Linked DNA regions of Anolis sagrei. The protein of the gene in region 2 interacts with the protein of the main gene of each other region in a pairwise test. Links are inferred from orthologs where the notes say so. Each region holds a gene or a part of one and is shown on either strand. Other genes may lie near its edges.

Region 1 (7,106 bases), on a different chromosome or scaffold from region 2:
CTTTTGCCATAAAGGAATTTAATATCTATTTATTATTATTATTATTATTATTATTATTATTATTATTATTATTATACTCCTGGAGTTGGAAGAGTCCCCAAAGTCCATTTAGTCTGACCCCCATTTTGCCATAAAGGAAGATGATATTATTTATCTATGTACTATACTCCTAAAGTTGGAAAGGAGCCACAAGGGCCATCTAGTCTGACCCTCTTCCGTCATAAAGATAGAATTACTATTAGTAGTAGTAGTATACATTATTATTAGATTCCTAGAGTTGGAAGGGACCTCCAAGGGCCATCTAGTCTGACCCTCTTCTGCCATAAAGATAGAATTACTATTATTATTATTATTATTAGTAGTAGTAGTAGTAGTATACATTATTATTATTAGATTCCTAGAGTTGAAAGGGACCCCCAAGGGCCATCTAGTCTGACCCTCTTCTGCCATAAAGATAGAATTATTATTAGTAGTAGTAGTAGTAGTAGTAGTATGCATTATTATTATTAGATTCCTAGAGTTGGAAGGAACCCCCAAGGGCCATCTAGTCTGACCCTCTTCTGCCATAAAGATAGAATTATTATTATTATTAGTAGTAGTAGTAGTAGTAGTATGCATTATTATTATTAGATTCCTAGAGTTGGAAGGGACCCCCAAGGGCCATCTAGTCTGACCCTCTTCTGCCATAAAGATAGAATTACTATTAGTAGTAGTAGTAGTAGTAGTAGTATACATTATTATTATTAGATTCCTAGAGTTGAAAGGGACCCCCAAGGGCCATCTAGTCTGACCCTCTTCTGCCATAAAGATAGAATTATTATTATTATTAGTAGTAGTAGTAGTAGTATGCATTATTATTATTAGATTCCTAAAGTTGGAAGGGACCCCCAAGGGCCATCTAGTCTGACCCTCTTCTGCCATAAAGATAGAATTACTATTATTATTATTAGTAGTAGTAGTAGTATACATTATTATTATTAGATTCCTAGAGTTGAAAGGGACCCCCAAGGGCCATCTAGTCTGACCCTCTTCTGCCATAAAGATAGAATTATTATTATTATTATTAGTAGTAGTAGTAGTATGCATTATTATTATTAGATTCCTAGAGTTGGAAGGGACCCCCAAGGGCCATCTAGTCTGACCCTCTTCTGCCATAAAGATAGAATTACTATTAGTAGTAGTAGTAGTAGTAGTATACATTATTATTAGATTCCTAGAGTTATGGCAGAAGAGGGCTATCTAGTCTGACCCTCTTCTGCCATAAAGATAGAATTACTATTATTATTATTATTAGTAGTAGTAGTATACATTATTATTATTAGGTTCCTAGAGTTGGAAGGGACCCCCAAGGGCCATCTAGTCTGACCCTCTTCTGCCATAAAGATAGAATTACTATTATTATTAGTAGTAGTAGTAGTAGTATACATTATTATTAGATTCCTAGAGTTGGAAGGGACCCCAAGAGCCATCTAGTCTGACCCTCTTCTGCCATAAAGATAGAATTACTATTACTATTAGTAGTAGTAGTAGTAGTATACATTATTATTAGATTCCTAGAGTTGGAAGGGACCCCCAAGGGCTATCTAGTCTGACCCTCTTCTGCCATAAAGATAGAATTACTATTATTATTATTAGTAGTAGTAGTATACATTATTATTATTAGGTTCCTAGAGTTGGAAGGGACCCCCAAGGGCCATCTAGTCTGACCCTCTTCTGCCATAAAGATAGAATTACTATTACTATTAGTAGTAGTAGTAGTAGTATACATTATTATTAGGTTCCTAGAGTTGGAAGGGACCCCCAAGGGCCATCTAGTCTGACCCTCTTCTGCCATAAAGATAGAAATACTATTATTATTATTAGTAGTAGTAGTAGTATACATTATTATTAGGTTCCTAGAGTTGGAAGGGACCCCCAAGGGCCATCTAGTCTGACCCTCTTCTGCCATAAAGATAGAAATACTATTACTATTAGTAGTAGTAGTAGTAGTAGTAGTATACATTATTATTAGATTCCTAGAGTTGGAAGGGACCCCCAAGGGCTATCTAGTCTGACCCTCTTTTTCCATAAAGATAGAATTACTATTATTATTATTAGTAGTAGTAGTATACATTATTATTATTAGGTTCCTAGAGTTGGAAGGGACCCCCAAGGGCCATCTAGTCTGACCCTCTTCTGCCATAAAGATAGAATTACTATTACTATTAGTAGTAGTAGTAGTAGTATACATTATTATTAGGTTCCTAGAGTTGGAAGGGACCCCCAAGGGCTATCTAGTCTGACCCTCTTCTGCCATAAAGATAGAATTACTATTATTATTATTAGTAGTAGTAGTATACATTATTATTATTAGGTTCCTAGAGTTGGAAGGGACCCCCAAGGGCCATCTAGTCTGACCCTCTTCTGCCATAAAGATAGAATTACTATTAGTAGTAGTAGTATACATTATTATTAGGTTCCTAGAGTTGGAAGGGACCCCCAAGGGCCATCTAGTCTGACCCTCTTCTGCCATAAAGATAGAATTACAATTAGTAGTAGTAGTAGTAAGTAGTAGTAGTAGTAGTATACATTATTATTATTATTAGATTCCTAGAGTTGGAAGGGACCCCCAAGGGCCATCTAGTCTGACCCCCTTCAACCATAAGGGAAGGCACCATTCGACCCCTCCCGACAGATGCCCGCCCAGCCTCTGCTTGAGCACTGACCTGTTTGGATGCCTTGGCCTCGGAGGAGGGCCACCGCTTCCGGCGTGAGTCCCGGGCACAACCCGGGTCGGAGGATCATGGCCTTATGAAAGAGGCAAAAACATGCAAGGGAGGAAGGAAGGAAAGAAGGGAGAAATCAATGCCAAATATTGACATTTCTGGGGGTGGGAGAGGAAAGCAAAAGCATGCAACTCGTGGGCCTCGTTGGAAAGAAGGGCTTGGCAAGGCCAGGAAGGGAACTCCTTGCCCCCATGTTGCAAAGTCCCTTTGCAGGAAAAGGAAAAAGTAGTTTCCTTTCCCAGGCTGCAGCTCTCTGTCGCCTCCTTCCATCCCTAGAAGGGAAAGAGATGGGCTTTGGCGCCCTCTCCTGGCCAGGCACGGGAGTGCGGGAGGGAGCCACATTGAGAAATTTTGTTATTATATTATATTACTAGCTTGGGGACCCGGCGCTGCCCGGGTTATTTGAGAAAGGAATTGTGTATCAAGGTTGGTCTTTATCAGTTATTTAGATGGCTCGCAATGGTCTCAGGAAGTTAGTGAAGGTACTTCGAATCCAATCATCTGTGGTCCATCCTCCTCCAAATTGCACCAGAATGGAGAGTGGATCGTGGGGGCTCTGTGCACCAAGTTCTGTTCTTGATCATTCATTGGATGAGGGTCACAGTGGTCTCAGAAAGTGAGTTTAGGTACTGCAAGTCCCATCATCCATTGTCTGTTCTCCCCCATCATCCATACTCTCCCACAAACATCACCAGAATGTTGAGTTAGCCAAGGGGGCTCTCTGTGCCAAGTTAGGTCTTTCTTGGTATTTGGATAAGTGTCGCTGTGGTTTCAGGAAGTGAGTGAAGGTACTGGAAGTCCCATCATCCGTCCTCCTCCAAACAGCATCAGGATGTAGAGTGGGTCATGGAGGTTCTGTGTGCCAAGTTTGGTCTTGATCGGACATTAGATGCGGGTTGCAGCATTCTTGGGAAGGGAGTAGAGGTACTTGAAGTCCCATCATCCATGGTCTGTCCTCCTCGAAAGTGCACCAGGATGTAGAGTGGGTCATGGGGACTCTGTGTGCCAAGTTTGGTCTTGATTAGTCATTGGCGAGGGGCTCAGTGGTCTCAGGAAGTGAGTGAAGTGACTGCAAGTCCCATCATCCATTGTCAAATTCTTCCAAACCGCACCAGGATGTAGAGTGGGTCATGCGGGCTCTCTGTGTAAATTGTGGTCCTGATTCATCATTGTTGGCAGTTGTAATGGTCTTAGGAAAGGAGTGCAGTTATTGCAAGTCCCATCGTCCATGGTGCATCCTCCCCCAAACTGCCCCAGGATGTAGAGTGCGCCATGGAGACTCAGTGTGCCAAGTTTGATCTTTATCAGTAATTGCATGAGGGTTGCAGTGGTTTCAAGAATTGAGCAAAGGTACTGCAAGTTCCATAATCCATGGTCCATCCCCCGCCAAACCACACCAGGACGTAAAGTGGGTCATGAGAGGTCTATGTGCCAAGTTTGGTCCTGATCAGTCATTGGATGAGATTAACAGCGGTCTCAGAATGTGAGTGATGGTACTGCAAGTCCCATCATCCATGGTTCATCCTCCTCCAAACTGCAGTAGGGTGTCGAGTAGGTCATGGGGGCTTTGTGTGCCAAATCTGCTCTGTATTGGTAATTGTCTGACTCAGCCCCCTCTGGCCTTTTCCTTTCCTCTGTTTGTCATCTCGGAATCTTGGAATTGAGGCTGGCCAATCAGAGACCATATGCAAATTTCCTTCTCATGTCCCCGTTTCTGCCATGAACTCTTTTCTCCACCAGGGGCTCCTATTGAAGCTGGCCAATCAGAGACCATATGCAAATAGCACCACTGCAGCAGCCAATCAAAACGCTGGCACATACTCCTCCCGCCACACTTTTGTCCTCCGCGTACAAGTTTTGACTTTTATTATATACATAGATACTAGATATTATATTATATTATATTATATTATATTATATTATATTATATTATTTAGCTGTCCCCTGCCACGCGTTGCTGTGGCCCAGTCTATTGATCTGGAAAATGGCCTTGGATGGCCTTAAGTATTTTCTGTTGGTCATGGGGCTTCTGTGTGGGAAGTTTGCCCCGATTCTCATTCGTGGGTTTCAGAATGCTCTTTGATTGTAGGTGAACTGTGAATCCCCGTGACTACAACTCCCAAATGTTAAGATCTATTTCCCCCAAACTCCTTCTGTGTTCACATTTGGGTGTATTGAGTGCTTGTGCCACGTTTGGTCCAGATCCATCATTGTTTGAGTCCACAGTGCTATCTGGATGTAGGTGAACTATAACTCTCAAACTCAAGGTCAATGCCCACCAAACCCTTCCAGTATTTTCTGTTGGTCATGGGAGTTTTGTGTGCCAAGTTTGGTTCAATCCCATCGTTGATGGAGTTCAGAATGCTCTTTGATTGTAGGTGAACTATAAATCCTAGCAAGTACAACTCCCAAATGACAAAATCATAATTTTTGAGTGATGGTCACTCCTTGTGTTGTGAGACATTTTGTTGCCAAATTTGGTGTGATTTCGTTCACTGGTTCTTTTGTTTTTAAGGAACTCATTATGCCCAGAGCATTTTTATATATATAGGTTATCAGCACTCCATGAAGTCATTCCGGCCACATGACCTTGGAGGTGTCTACGGACAACACCGGCTCTTTGGCTTAGAAATGGAGATGAGCACCGACCCCCCAGACTGGACTTAATGTCAGGGGAAAACCTTTACCTTTACTTATATTATATTATATTAATATTAATAGTATTACATTATATTTTATATATTATATAACTATTTCATTCTTATTGTTATATATATATATATATATATATTCTTACTAATATTATTATTTTATTATTGGTATTATATTATGTATATATTATATTATTCTTATCACATTATCTATACCTTACATATTATTACTATTACTAATGTATTATTATCTTATATATTTAATATGCTTATTATTAATTATACATCTTATATATTACTATTATTATATTATTACATTAGTATTCTCTCTATATATAATTATTAGACCCATAGTTATCATTGTTATTATATTAAGTCTTTGTTGGAGTCCTTAAGTCAATTCACCTCAGGAAATAGGAAAGAATTTCCCAAGCGTTTGTCATGCTGGGGTCACGAAAGGGTGGCTTTCCATATTTTTATACATAGGCGCATATATGGGGTTCATAAAGCATGCACAGGGGAAAAGGGGGAAAAGGACATTCATATAAACTCATCCCACCCACCAAAGTTCATAGAGAGTCCAATATCGTGAAATCATATAGTCCCTAAGTCATGAAATTGAATCCATGGGGCTTGGAGAAAGAGTTCCAGAAAGTTTTCAAAAGTTGGCAAAAGTTGATAAAAGTTGTAAAATCCACGGGAAACAAGTTGGAAAAGGTGTCCCAGAGTCCATAGAGTTCTTATGAGGCGACTGCCAGTGCTGGAGATCAAGATCCATGGAGAGAACTACAGATCCCTCCTCACCAAGGACCAAGGCGGCCTGCCGACATCTTGGGGTGACCGCGACAGTTTCCCAGGCTCCCTGGGTATCCACAAAATGGTGGCAGCAAGGCAATATCTTCAGAAGAACAACTGGGCTCCAGGTTGAGGTTTTGAACTCAAAAATGGTTATTCCCGGGGCAGAGGAGTTAGTGGAGCGAAATTGAGATAGCCATTAGTCTTAGAATTCTCTCCGGAGAAGAATGGCACCGAGTTTGAAGCGATCCGTTGACTCGCAGATACGGGGGCCCAATGGGTTTCTGTATCCGCAGTTCAGGGGAGCGCAGTTTCGGCCTCCTCAGGACACGAAAATTGCATCCCGGGAAGGCCGGCAGCCATCTGCAGCCTGGGAGAGGAAATGTTTATGCAGAGAAGAGTTTTGGAGGCAGTAAAAGACACAAAGTAACACCATTGAGAGGAAAAAGTTACAATTAATTGATATTTTATTGGGGGATTATTTATAATGTTAGGCAGGAGAAGAAAGCGAAGTAATAAGAAGACTTCTGGGTTGCAGCTGCCGCTGAGGCCACATTCATGTAGGTTGGGCTAAGCGAGGCAATAGAGAACTGAGGAACTCCCTGCTGCAGGTCAGCTTGAAAGCAGGGAGTTCTGGGTTCAACCTCATTATGTCCCATCTTTTGCAGCCCAAATATAAAATAATATTATATTATTATAAATAATAATAATAAGTTGAAGTACTTTGGCCACATCATGAGGAGACAGCAAAGCCTAGAGAAGACAATTATGCTGGGGAAAGTGGAAGGCAAAAGGAAGAGGGGCCGACCAAGGGCAAGATGGATGGATGGCATCCTTGAAGTGACTGGACTGACCTTGAGGGAGCTGGGGGTGGTGACGGCCGACAGGGAGCTCT
Region 2 (7,243 bases):
TCCCCCCCCCACCCCCCAGTTACATCAGCTCCACTAGTTGCCACTAGTCTGCTACCGAGCACAATTCAAAGGGCTGGCTTTAGACTATAAAGCCCTAAATGGTCGGAACGTACCTCCCTCTATGACAGTGTTTCTCAACCTGGGGGTCAGGACCTCTTGCGGGGGGGGAGGGGGGGGGTCACAAGGGATCACGAAAGACTATCAGAAAATTCAGTATTTTCTGTTGGTCCTGGGGGTTCTGTGTGGGAAGTTTGGCCCAATGCTATCGTTGGTGGAGTTCAGAATGCTCTTTGATTGTAGGTGAACTATAAATCCCAGCAACTACAACTCCAAAATGTCAAGGTTTATTTTCTCCAAACTCCACCACTGTTCATATTTGGGCATATTGAGGATTTGTGCCAAGTTTGGTCCAGATCCATCATTGTTTGGACCCACAGTGTTCTCTAGATGTAGGTGAACTACAACTCCAAAACTCAAGGTCAATGCCCACCAAAACTTTCCAGTATTTTCTCTTGGTCATGGGAGTTGTGTGTGCCAAATTTTGTACAGTTCCATCATTGGCGGAATTCAGATTGTATGTTGACGATAAATCCTAGCAATTATAACTCCCAAATGACAAATTCAACCCCCACCAATCCCACAAGTATTCAAATTTGGGCATATAAGGTATTTGTGCCAAATTTGATCCAATGAATGAAAATATATCCTGCATATCAGATATTTACATTATGATACATAACAGTAGCAAAATTACGGTTATGAAGTAGAAACGAAAATAATGTTAGGGGTCACCACAACATGGGGAACTGTATGAAGGGTTCCTGGCATTAGGATGGTTGAGAACCACTGCTCTATGAACTACCATGGAGGTTAAGATCTTCTGGGGAGGCCCTTCTGGTCCTACCTACTTCACAGACATGATTGGTGGGGATGAGAGACAGGGCCTTCTCAGTGGTGGCCCATCAATTATGGAACTCCCTCCCCAACAAAATTAGATCAGCTCCCTCCCTCCTGACCTATAGAAAGAAATCAAAAACTTGGCTATGGGACCAAGCCTTCGGATAGTAACTCAGTGCAATAAGAGGATACGAAATAATTTCAACATGATTGAAATGGATCCTGGACTATGACTTTGGATTTGTGTGGTGTTAATAATTCATTTTAATGCATAGATTTTTTTCTTAACTTTTATAGTTTAAATATATAGCCTTATTGTTCTTATATGTTTGTTTATATGGCACTGAATTGTTGCCAATCTGTAAGCCGCTCTGAGTCTCCTTCGGGGTGAGAGAGGGCAGGGTATAAATAAAGTAAATACATAAATAAATAAACAATTACAAGCAGATAATATAAAACAGTGGTATAAAACATATTAAAGTTGGATGATAATGCATAATGTCCTTGCACAGTTGAGCTAATTACCTTACATAGTGAGGAAAAAGACTTTATTCAATCCACAAGAGACACAGTTCAACACAACATTGCCAAGAAGTGTGTTGGTGAGTACCATCCTGGACTGTTGTCATTTAAATGTATATGATTACTTTGTTTGATTAGTTTTACATTCTCCAGAATAACCATAGACTATCAGTCCAGTGACAAATACAAATTTGAGAAGAGCAAAGAAAAAAATCAAAATAACAAAATAATGAGAAAGGAAAGATGTGGGGGGAGGAAAAGGGTGCCCTCCACCTACAAGTGAAGTCATGCTCTATTTCAAACAAATCTGCTAGGCTTTGATCTAATCAGAAAGTGCCTGATACCTATCAGACCTACTCTTAAAGTCAACTAGTTTGCATTGCATGTGAACAGAGAGCTATCTAAAGTTAAACAAAGAACAGCACCCCCAAGGCACCTCATAGCAACCCAATGGTTCCAGCCATGAAAGCCTTCAACAACAGACCTCCATTCAGTTTACAACTCATATCTTTCCCTCAAAAGCCCTATAAACTTCTTCCTCACACAACTTACCTGCCTCAAGTTTTGAAAGTGAAGTAAATTCCCCGGATACCACCTTTCTCCTGAAATACCAAAAATACTAAAGTTTAAAAACTAAAATTATACAATAGGGTGTTTGGCATATGCTTTACACAATAAATCAGGATTGCAGGTACGTAATGACAGAAGTTCCCATAGCAAACTAATAAACTCCAGAGCTGCTGCTAATTCCTTATCCAAAAGCAAAAAGAAGACGATGTACTCAATATGGTCTAAGAACTGAATACAGAGAGCCATACTTTGTTAATAACAGTCAGTACTTTGACGCTTCAACCTCCACATTAGCCATTAAAACAGTTCTTTCTTGTTCACTTTCCTGTTCAAATTTAGCAATGCTTCACTTTACCCCCCTATTTTATTTGCACTTAGACATTCAGCTGCTTCAAAATGGTGTTCCCCGCCCAAAAAGCCAGCTCTGAGATCCAAATTTCAAACACAAGCACAGCCAGAGTTTGTTTGCTTGTTTTCTCTCCCCTGAAATTTGTTGTAGGATGATCAGGAGAGGGAGGGACGGCTTTAGGCAGCACTGCATCTCAAATTGTGCCAAAGAATATTGAACGGCAACACCAACAACTCTGCCTTGCATCCTGTATACAGTACATTTTGGCATGCAGAGAGGGAGGGGAAGAGAAGAAAGAGATACATACCAAAAATGCAACCTCAGTCAACAGCTGCCAGACTTCTGGACCAGAAGAGAAACCCCTGGAGAAGCTTCTCGGTGCAGGAAAATGGCAGAGGAGGCTGGCCACCACATCTTGCAAGAGTCAAACCACTTGTGATTGAAAGTTGACTCCTGCTGCTTGCCCTCTTTGCTAACATTACCAACTCTCCTCCAAAACCAGAGAAAGGCTGGAGGAATTGGCCCACGTCACAGCCAAACATTCCTCCCCAGCTAATCACAGGCCAGGCGGGGAGGAGCGGCTGTCGCTTCACATTTCTTCCCTGCTAACCACTGGGTTTGTGTGTGCGTGTTCCCACATGTGCGGTGCACATCACGTTCTCATTGGTTTCCTCGCCCGCTTCAAGACATAACCCAGAGAGAGACACTCCAAGTCCAGGCACATGAGCCACCAAACTTAGGATCCAGGCTAGAAGGCAGCTATCTGTAAAGATTTGCTTCTTTCCTGCACCTGGCACAGAAGAGTGCGCAAAACCTCTTGGATGTGGGCCAAAGGAAAGCCCTGGGGATTTTCTTCCTCCTACTCTCTGGCTGGCATACAAAACAAACTAAGCAGGAGCCCCATAGTCTTCTCTACTCTTGCCCACCTCAGTCCCCCCTGCTTTAAAAGTCCAAGCATCACATTACAGACCCTTTCGTGCTCCAAACACAAAGCAGAGCCAGATCATTCCCTAGCACTCAATGAACTACTCCCTGAGCAGCTGCTGTCGGCAGGAAATCTTCCACTGACTGCCACACAGCTGAAAGACCGAGCTCTGAAGAACAGCCTGAACAGCCTCGAAAAAGCCTGCTAGCATGTATTTGTCAACAAATGTTGACCCAATTAAAAATGGCCATCTTACTCCTTACTTTCTCACAGGCTTTTGAAGCAGATAAGACCGGTCTGGGAAGAAAACATTCATCCTAAGACTTTCTGTCCTCTGTCAAATTCTTTGACTCTTGGGTTGTATGTATGTATGGTCATGTTCCAGAAGCATTCTCTCCTGACATTTTGCCTGCATCTATGGCAGGCATTCTCAGAGGTCTGCTGGACACTAGGAAAATCGAGTTTTTATATGTGTGTGGAATGTTTATATATCTGTGGAATGTCTACATAGGGACCACCAAACGCAGCATTGCCCAAACAGGAATCAAGGAACATGAAAGGCACTGCAGACTACTTCAACTAGAGAAGTCAGCCATAGCAGAGCACCTGATGAACCAACCTGGACACAGCATATTATTTGAGAACAGAGAATTCTGGGCCACTCTAACAACCACCATGTCAGACTACACAGAGAAGCAATGGAAATCCACAAGCATGTGGGCAATTTCAACAGAAAGGAGGAAACCATGAAAATGAACAAAATCTGGTATTTAAAAACTCTAAAATCATAACAGTAAATAAAGAACAATACTCAAACACAGGGGAATTCCAGACAAGAAAATCTGGGTCAACTAATCACCTCCCAACAAAAGATTCCCCCAAGCAGTAGGAAGCCAAACCTTGAAACTGCTAGGCCATTAAATGCTAATCAAGGTGACCAATTGAAACATTCACATTCACTACCTCAAACAGGCAACAGTTCTTTCTCCCACCCTGGACATTCCACAAATATATAGATCCCATTTTCCTAGTTTCCAACAGACCTCACAACCTCTGAGGATGCCTGAGATACATGCAGGTGAAACGTCAGGAGAGAATATTTCTGGAACATGGCCATACAGCCTGGAAAACATAACAACCCAGTGATTCCAGCCATGAAAGCCTTCAACAATTCTTTGAATCTTGTCATCATTATAAAAGTGAGGTTTTTCCAAGGAACAAGTGAGAAAAGGCATAGGCAAACTTGGGCCCTCCGGCAGCTGAGGGGGGAAAGGGCCCCAAGGCTGTTAGGAATTGTGGGAGTTGAAATCCAAAACACCTGGAGGGCCCAAATTTGCCCATGCCTGATCTACACTGTAGAATATTGCAGTTTGACACCACCTAGAGAAACATGAAAGTTGTAGTTTTACAAAGTCTTTTACCTTTTCTGCCAAAAAGTGTGGGTTCCTCACCAAACTACAAATCCCAGGACTCCATAGCACTGAGCCATAAGGAGTTAAAGTAGTGTCAAACTGCAACAATTCTACATCACTGATGCACTCTCAGACTAGAATCCCCATCTTCACCCATGAGGACCATGTATTTTTTCCAATTGTAATTTTAAGAGTAATTTGTTGTTTTGTGCCTTCAAATAATTTCTGATAAGGCCTGATTAGAGGGGGGATGCCATTGCTTTCCTCTGGGGCTGAGAGAGTGTGACTTGCCACTTTCAATCTTTCAGGGATTTGTAGTTTCAGAGGTATGAGAAGCATACCTCTGAAACTACAAATCCTTGCTTTCTGCTCTAAATCTGCAAACCAAAGTACTCTTGCTTGGAAGGAAGGAAGCACCATTGAAACTAATGAGACAATGAATAAACATGTGTTGGTTGAATGTGCTGTGAAAATGATCCTGATTGCAATGGCATTCATTCTAGCTCCACCTTGCTGATGGGAAAAGTGAGGTTCAAAGCCATAATAGGTTCCACAGAATAAGAAACGAAATGCAAATTCAAACCAAATTCAGTCCTAAGCTGGGGCATGCCCAAGAGATACAGCTTGCAACAACACTCAGAAATAAACCATGCAAACCGCAAAGACTATACTCCCCTAACCAGTTGAGCAGGAGCGTTTTGACTTAAACTAGCTACAGTAAACAAAGGTCTACTTTGCATCCTGATCTGTAGACCAACACTGAATAGGAAGGGTCCACTTGCCTATATGTATACAGCATTTGCCATACTAACTTTTCCTGGAGTATAGCTACAGAAGGACCCCCGGAGGTGCAGTGGGTTAGACTGCTGCTGAACTTGCTGACTGAAAGGTTGCAGGTTCAAATCCGGGGAGCAGCATGAGCTCCCACTGTTAGCCCCAGCTTCTGCCAACCTAGCAGTTCGAAAACATGCAAATGTGAGTAGCTCAATAAGTACTGCTCCAACAGGAAGTTAACGGCATTCCATGCAGTCATGCTGGTCACATGACCTTGGAGATGTCTATGAACAACGCCAGCTCTTCGGCTGAGAAATTGAAAATTAGCACCAACCCCCAGAGTCAGATGCAACTGGTCTTATTGTCAGGGGAAAACCTTTACATTTACCTATAGCTATGGGAAGGGCCAAAATGAGGCCTCCCCACCCATCTCACATCCGCATAACAATTCTGTTCCACAAATGTTTCCCCCCCCCCGCCCCCCCCCCCGCCCCCGCCTCTAATCTCCAAATTGCTAGCATTGCAGAAAGTGAGACCTTCATTCCTAGAACTGTTATATTTGCAATGTTCACACCCCTTTCAGTAATGTTTTCCCTTTGCTTTGGATGCCTAAACTGCATTTCTAAATGTGCAATGGAATTTTAAAGTTATTACAAAGCTAGAAATTTGGAGACTAAAGGAAAATATAATTGGTGGTGGAAAAATATTTTTACTTGGGTGACCCAATGCCCCCCTTTTCTTTCCCGCCATTCACCCCTGACCTTCTCTTTTCTTGTTAAATCAAGGCTGGGATGCCAAGACCAGATGTGGTTCTGGGATGTGTGAGAAAAGGGAGGTCAATAAATACTTCTACACAGATTTTTTCCCCATATATTGATCTCAATGGAGCCAGGCTGGTCCCATGCACTTGTAAAATGGAAAGAGAATATTCTGAAAGGAAAAAGGAGCAACTGCCAGGACAAGTTAGGCACTTCATGTACTGGAAGGAAACATCAGAGAAAGCTTGCCCTGGAAGCAAAACTTGGATCAAAAGACACCAACACCTCACTATTTGCATGCTGCCAACTCCCAGGCCCTGAATACACACTTTCAAGCCATTTCTCCACATGCCAAACATTCAATTGAATGAATCCTACACAGAGCCCAGGAAAGTCATATATTGGAGTTACAATTCTCAGCTAGTGACTGGGAGAGTCTGAGTTTCCCAAACTCTGACTGATTACAGTGATTTCAGATCTAAGCCAGACCTACACACTCACGATACCAGGCTGGATCTACACTGCCATATAATCCAGTATCTGATTTGATGTGGATTATATGAGTCTACACTGCCATATAAACCAGCTCAAAGCATATAATCCGGATTTTATATGGAAGTGTAGATGGGGTCCCAGTAAACTCTAGCAACTTTCCCCTGTACCAACGAGTTTAAGTCCCCTCTCAGTCTTCTTCCAGTTTTTTAGCCCAGCACACTGAAAACTGGGAAGCCCTGGCCCTTGAGCGCTCCAGTTGGAGGTCAGCTGTGACCAGCAGTGCTGCAGAATTTGAAGAGGCACGGATGGAGGGCAAAAGAGAGAAACGTGCCAAGAGGAAGGCACGTCAAGCCAACCCCAACCGGGACAGCCTTCCACCTGGAAACCGATGCCCTTAGTGTGGGAGAAGATGCAGATCAAGAATAGGGCTCCACAGTCACCTACGGACCCACCGCCAGGATATTACACTTGAAGGATCTAAGGATCCTCAGACTACGAAGGATCCTCAGACTACGAGGGATCACCTAAGTAAAGTAGGTAA

The links.
Region 1: the proteins of LZTS2 (region 2) and RAD51D interact in binary tests that used the Homo sapiens proteins (3 or more experiments, as listed by UniProt). The two-hybrid records come from large-scale screens. The link is inferred for Anolis sagrei from reciprocal best matches to the Homo sapiens genes LZTS2 and RAD51D.

The regions. Positions count from the first base shown.
Region 1 is NC_090031.1:28,352,969-28,360,074, reverse strand, and holds the start of RAD51D (DNA repair protein RAD51 homolog 4), read right to left. Parts: upstream 3,034-7,106; 5' UTR 2,785-3,033; coding exon 2,706-2,784; intron 1-2,705. UniProt on the Homo sapiens protein: Involved in the homologous recombination repair (HRR) pathway of double-stranded DNA breaks arising during DNA replication or induced by DNA-damaging agents. Bind to single-stranded DNA (ssDNA) and has DNA-dependent ATPase activity.
Region 2 is NC_090023.1:215,468,586-215,475,828, reverse strand, and holds the start of LZTS2 (leucine zipper putative tumor suppressor 2), read right to left. Parts: upstream 3,082-7,243; 5' UTR 2,646-3,081; intron 2,022-2,645; 5' UTR 1,972-2,021; intron 1-1,971. UniProt on the Homo sapiens protein: Negative regulator of katanin-mediated microtubule severing and release from the centrosome. Required for central spindle formation and the completion of cytokinesis.